Arabidopsis thaliana: one gene and its partner. The protein of the gene in region 2 interacts with the protein of the main gene of each other region in a pairwise test. Each region holds a gene or a part of one and is shown on either strand. Other genes may lie near its edges.

Evidence for each region. Proteins that work in one complex are often made in the same cells at the same time.
Region 1: the proteins of AT5G15500 (region 2) and PRA1.C interact in a protein complementation assay, tested with the Arabidopsis thaliana proteins (one large-scale study listed by BioGRID).

What each region holds. Positions count from the first base shown.
Region 1 is NC_003075.7:14,532,436-14,535,791, forward strand, and holds PRA1.C (prenylated RAB acceptor 1.C), read right to left. Parts: upstream 1,639-3,356; 5' UTR 1,585-1,638; coding exon 1,012-1,584; 3' UTR 502-1,011; downstream 1-501. Other genes in the region: AT4G29654 (Protein kinase superfamily protein), read right to left, coding at 1-19; EMB2752 (embryo defective 2752), read right to left, coding at 2,060-2,179, 2,545-2,736.
Region 2 is NC_003076.8:5,031,679-5,035,435, reverse strand, and holds the start of AT5G15500 (Ankyrin repeat family protein), read left to right. Parts: upstream 1-1,895; 5' UTR 1,896-1,992; coding exon 1,993-2,308; exon of another isoform or gene 2,309-2,587; coding exon 2,588-3,645; 3' UTR 3,646-3,757. Other genes in the region: AT5G15510 (TPX2 (targeting protein for Xklp2) protein family), read right to left, coding at 1-43, 139-231, 344-389, 472-1,316.

The DNA of each region.
Region 1 (3,356 bases), on a different chromosome or scaffold from region 2:
CAACTATTTTAAAATGCATAGAGTTTGGAGGAATAAGGAGAAATCTTGAAAATTTATATATATTTTGCTTGTAGTTTGCTTTTGTTTTTCTTATGTTTTATCTTCTTTTTTTGCTTTAAATTAAACATGATTAACAAACTTTATATTTTGGTAATTCTAGAACACTATAACATATTAAAAAAATTATAAACAAAATAATTCTTCATAGACAATATAAACCTATGTAATTATCTCTTTGAAATAAATAAATTAAATATGTTTATTAGGAATAAGTCTTAGTTGGTTTTGCTTAACATTTACCAAATGTAAAAATATTGTATTCACTCTGGGACTAGGCCGGTTGATATTAGCGAGACGTCTAAACCACCTCAGATATTTTAGAGAGTTCCTTTTAAACACTTATCTCTTTTACAATTATCTAATTTTTTTACTAAAATAAAAATTTAATTGTATAATCAAATTATAGTAAAATATTAATATTTTTTTTATTTGAGAATTTTTTGGGGTTCTCTTTGTTGGAGATGGTCTAACTACTTCTTCATGTCGTGTCTAAAAAGTAAAATGGTATATATAGCCAAATCCCTATTGCATTTGAACTTGATAATTGTTGTGATAAAATTAAAAACTAGATCATTGTTCATATAAAGTTACAACCTTTCAATTCGTAATTGTTGAAAATGAGAGAATCGATTGGATAATTTGTAATAAGTGATAACTGAGAAGAGGATCACACTTGTCTTCGTTATTGTATTGGCTTGTTGGAGATAATTAGATAGGAATTCTATCATAGGATAATGTTTTTAATCAGCACGCAAAATTGCCTTTTATTTGTCACCAAGGTCTCTGACATGCATCAGTACATCAATATCCACATCCTGAATTTTGATCGCAAAAGAGCTCAAGTTCTTTTTGCAGCATGTTAACGTTCCTTCACTGGATATGCGTTGTTTTGAACTATGTAGACAAATTCAGGAAAGAAAAACTGAAAATCTTGTGCTCAATTGTGAAGACTTAAGAGGAAGAAGAAAGTGACGAAGATGATGTGTTCATTGCCACTTTCTCTTCATCATCTTCCAAGACGAACAACATCTCTGTATTCCTCCTACACATGCCATGAACCAGAACAACGGGCAAACCAGCCAAAACCCCGATCACAATACCGCGGGATACATCTGTTAGTAGAAATATACCGATCGTGAGGACCAACAAAACCAGCACCAAAGTAGAATCATCGATCACACTGCCAAATATCACCCATGGTTCATTATCACGGGAGTAGACATATAGCCATGCTACTATCAAGATAACAAAGACGGAAAGGTGGACGGGTTGCCAAAGCATGCTGATGAAGATACTAACAATGAAGATAACAATGTAGTTGGTTCGAAAGATCATGATGTTGGATTTGATTCGTTCAGTGGCAACGCTAAAGGAGATAGGAAGGCTAAAGGCACTACATTGGACAAGTTCAAGCCATGGCCTTTGAGAGCTAAGACCTAACGAGATCAATTCTTTGGCTCGTCCTAATAAGCTCAGGCTCGACGAAGCATTTTCTTGGGATGGTATAGTGCCATAGGTTGTCATATTCTTTCACAAGCAACAAACAAAAAAAAAAAGGAAGGAAAGAAACAGAGTACGTCCCCAGAGGAATCTATATGGACTAAAGAATGTGAAGCAACCTAATTTGAAGAGAAAAATCTGTGTTGGCTCAATGTTTCTGAGGTAGTTAGATCATCTATCTTATTTGGGAATGTTTTATTTCAGGACACCAGAAGAGAGGCAGATACAAGCAGAGATATTCAAAGGAATGAATGGATACCCTTAAACTTCTCAAATCAAATCCTTATACTATAACGAGACTGTCATTACATGTAATTTCTAGAAAATAGATTCTTAAGAGAGTCATTAGACTCGAAATACAGACACAAACATTCTACTGAACCAAAAGAAGTTTTTTGATATACATATACTAGTGAACCAGTATAAATCCATTTATATCTGCGTATCAAAGTCGGAGATACATCCTTCACCATAGTCTCTGATAGCCTAATCGTTAGCTTCACTGGCTGCTAGCATCTGAAGCAATAGCCTCACCACGATAAACTCTCCATGGTCCTCGATAGAATACTGGCTTCATCAGAGGCACTGTTTTCCCTGGGTGCTCTTCCCAAAACTTCTCCTGTTTACAGAGAGTGGAGTAACATAAAGTTCACACTCAAACAAGAAACATAACTGATACTAACACAAAACAGTGTAAGAAACACATTGACAAAGAATACAATATACTACAGAACAATGAATTAGATTAGATACTAATCAAGACGTAAAAGCTTCATTGAAAGACCTAATGAACCATTCCCATGAAAAGCAATTCAAGTATAGTTCTTTTCATGATCACACAATCCTTTATTAGTAATCAACAATGAATCATTTCCAATTTTATCACATTTCGAACCCTAACATTTACCAATCACGAGAATCAAATTAGAACCCACAAATCTAATAGCAATTCCGGGCCTGAATCGATAACAATACGAAGCTGACCTTGTAGAGCTGCTCTGTAACTGCAGCGCCGATGACGCCGGTGTAAAAGGCGGCGACATAGATAGTAATCAAAGTTGTGAAGGTTTTTGGTCGACGGTAAGGTTCGATCATTTCCCAAACAGCAAATCTCTCGAACTTATTGTACTTATAATCAGCATATTTCCTCCATAGTTGGCTCCACACTCCTTGCATCTCTCAGATTTCTCTCTTCTCAAACCTTCGCCGAATTTTGGATTTCTCCGTCTAGCTGTTTCGCGGCGGCGCGTGGGAACCTGAGAAAAATCTGATATCAAAAGGCAAGACTTTAAACGTTAAAACGTTTACCAAACAGTCCTCTTATTCCTACATGTTTTAGTTTTCAGCCCTTAACTTATCTTTAACACTTAAAAGTCTTGAGCTCACATTTGTAAATTTTTAAAAAATCTTATTTGATATGATTCTTGTAAATTTGTAAATTGTAATCACAACACATGATTATTGTAACCATTGTGCTATGTATTTGTTTTTCACTATCGTTCGGTAAGTTGAGAAAGTTATAAATTTACCCCAAAACTATGGAAATGAGACTTATGCAACCTCACATGACTTCATCAATAAGCTTGCTTTAAAGCAATAAAGAACAGCAGTAGTGAAAATACATTTGCAATTGACTATTAGCAGAAGAATCGTAACTGGCTTTAGGAAGTATTCTTTTACACCCAAAAATATGACGATATACAGAATTTTAAGCTGAGTATTTGCTTGAGCAACCAAAGATTGTTGCCTTAGTAATATATCTAAAAATCTGGCACTTCAACTTGATGCAGCTGGTT
Region 2 (3,757 bases):
GTATCTTTTTTGCTAACTCTTCCTCTTTCACTTTACCTCTTTGCTGCAGAGAGACAAAAGACCAACCAACTGTCATGACTCAATTTCCACCATAAAATTCGAAATTTTTCTTTAGTTTTAATCTAAAGAAACTCATACCTCAGTTCTAAGCTTAAACGGCTTCAATGAAGTGACCTTAACCTGCTTCTTCTTTGATCTTCTACTTCCCATTGTAGTCGATGACTCCATGCTCTGCCATAAACAGAAATATCAAAATGATTATTAAACTATACTGACATACTAAGCAAGACAGACAACCATTAAACAGCTAAGAAAATTCAGATGCTGCATGCAGGACACTTACATTTCTTCTACTTCTCCTGCCAGCATTTGAACTTCCACTCAAAACACTGAAACATCACAATATCAAACTATTCAGAACAAGACAAGTTCATAATTTCAGTGAGATCTCTTAGTCAACAACAAACTAACCTGCCACGGGTGCTGTCCCAGGACGAAGAAATCGAAGCATTGGGGTCTAAACCCAGATTCTTAGCTGTTAAGACCATTTCAGATGGACAAAACGAAGAACTCCATGGGTTTTTCTCTTTCTCACCCTCCAAGAATTCCAATTTCACAGGTTTCTTCGTATCCTCTTCGGTTTGATTCTCTTCTATCTTGTTGGCAGTCTTTGAATTACTAAAGCAAGTGAGTTTCTCAAATGCTTCTACAAGATTCATCACTTTACCAGATACAGGCACACTTTGCCGTGCTTCTTCCACCACCTTAGCTCTTGATCTCTTCATTGTGGAAACGCCTGTTTTCTCCGGTTCTCCAGATTCTTTTCCTTCTAGTTCATCGCCATTTCCGAGATTACAGCATTCCTCCAAAGCTTCCTTATCCTCCTCTGATTCAATTCGATTTTTGAAGAACTCCTCTTGCGAAGCACGCAGAGTTTCATATGCAACACAAACACACTTCATGTTCCCCTTCTTCCTCTCTCCGCATTTACAATCTATCTCAGCTGCCTTGGATTCTGTAATCGCTGGCTCCTTCTTCCCTTTCCTCGAATTCTTCTTCGCCACCACAACAAACTTCCTCTCTCTGATCCGATTCCGGGGAGAGAAAACCGCCTGGGTAGGTTTAGGGCTCGGACTCGGATTCTTCTGCGCTGATTTCTTCGCAGATTTCATGAGCGGTGATTTAGAAGGACTCGCTTGTGAAATGTTAGGGTTTGCATTCTCCGATGATCTGGAAATCTTTTGATTGGACTGAAACTTGCTCCGATCCTTCACCGGAGTCCCTGCTTTCCCATTCTTCAATGTCAACGACTCCATCGAAGATAACAGAATCTGGAATCAAGAGAGTAACACGAACAGTAATCGATCTAGATTTGAGAATCTCTCCAACAAAAAAAAAATTGATCGGAGGTGAAGAATTAGGGTTTGTTCTTGCTATGGAGTATTGTAAATCGAATAAGAAGATAGATTTGGGGGAAAAATGTGACCGTTGCGGCGCTCTTTGGACGCTCTCTAATAACGGCTAGTCTTTTTGGTGCTTTTTTAATAAATAAACTTAGATTAGTAATAAATAATTATTTTCCTAATCTTGTCCGTTAGATTGTCAAATTAATGATTATGATGATTTTAATCCACGTTTAATGCCACGTCACATCCGAATTTCAACACTTTAGCAGCGAGTTATTTTGTACAATCTTAGCCATTAGATCAAATAGATGCTGGAGCCGATATGATCCACGTTGTACTCCATGTCACATCAAATTTTCAGACAATAATTCTTATTTATCTAATATCAACCGTTGGATTAAATGATCAGATACTGACGTGTCCACGTATACTGCCACGTCACCTATAATTTCCCACTCTTTTCCTTTTTTTGGGAACTTCCTTCATTCACAAACGAGTTATCATTTCGTAGCCAATTAAGTTTCATCATCATATTTAATCACCAAAAATATAATTCGCATCGTCGTTCTGTTCTCTTGAGTCACTAATGGACCAAAGATCATTAGAAGCTGCTGCTAAATCTGGAAACATCGATCTACTATACGAACTAATCCATGAAGATCCATACGTTCTTGATAAAACCGACCACGTGCCCTTCGTTAATACTCCTCTCCATGTGGCAGCCGTCAATGGAAAAACAGAGTTTGCCATGGAAATGATGAACTTGAAACCATCTTTTGCTCGGAAACTTAACGCCGACGGACTTACACCGTTACACCTCGCCGTGGAACACGGTCACTTCTGGTTAGTACTTGAAGTAGTTAAGGTTGATCCAAGTCTTGTTCGTATTAAAGGGAGACATGGTACGTACACTCACTTATTTTGTTGAACCCTTAATTATGTTTCTTAGTTTTTTCCAAAAGCTTTAGCTCTAATCAATCCGAACTAATGTTATAATATGTATCTAGTAAATTCAAATCTTGGAGATAGTATTGAAGTAGGACGAACAGTCCATTGAATACTAGTTTGAATTCAGTCTATTGTTGCTTTTGACTAGTCATTATGTCGATATTGTATGGTCAGATCATGAACTAGATTGGTTATACCAGGAGTGTTTAATTCATTTTTCTTGTCCAAAAAAGGTATGACGCCATTGCTAGTTGCGGTAAGTAGAAAGAAGATTGATCTGATGTCAGAATTCTTCTTGGGTTGTCCCGAAAGCATTGTGGACGCAAATGTGAACGGAGAAAACGCTCTTCACATCGCCGTGAATAACTACGACCAAAGAGAAGGATTAAGCGTTCTTAAAGTTCTCATGGGATGGATCTTAAGATTGTGTCAAAAAGATGCAGAGTGGATCGAGACAAGAGTCATAAACCGAAGAGACAAAGACGGTAACACGCCTTTACATCTCGCGGCGTACGAGATCAATCGTCAAGCTATGAAATTGTTGTTAGAGAGCTCCAAGATTAACGTCAACATTGAGAACAAGAACGGTTTAACCGTGTTCGACATTGCTGTGTTACACAATAACAGAGAGATAGAGAGAATGGTTAAGAGACATGGTGGAAAACGTTCGGTTTCTCTTGTCAAGATTAAGACAACATCGGATATACTCGCGTCGCAGCTTTCTTGGAGAGAATCGAGACGGACGAAGAAGATTCGGTTTTATTCTTGGATCTCTGAAGAGAGAAGAAACGCTCTTTTAGTGGTCGCAACTCTCATCGTCACAGCTACATATCAGACGGTTCTCCAACCTCCCGGAGGCGTGTCTGATGGCGGTGGTCAAAAGAGTGGAACAAGCGGTCCGAAAGCGGGTTCAGTGGTTATGGACGAGGTCTACTTTATCTGGTTATGGTTGTGGAACAGTGCGGGGTTCTGCTTTGCGATTGAGATGATGATACGTTTGTTGAGTTTAGGACAAGAGAGTATGTTTTGGTATTACCCTCTGTTCGTTCCTATGGTCTTGGCTTACTCTGTTGCAGGGGATGTGATCAAGCCGAACGCAAGAGCGTACACGATCGCAGGTGTGGGTGCGATCGTGGTTCTTATAATTTGGGGATTGGTAGTTTGGTTTTGGGAATGGGTGCAGTCTAAGAGAACCAAGCAACGTGGACCCAAGAGTGGATTGGTTTGGGAAGGTTTCACTACGTTGGATCAAGCTAGAGGTGTTGCGCCTAATCGGTATGTGATTAGGTAATCTTAATTTCCTCTTGTTATTTTATTGTTGCTTTTGTATTTTTATTCTATAATGTGTAAAATCTCTACTCGGGGTAAACCTATTTACATGAAATATCTGTTTATTATTTGCT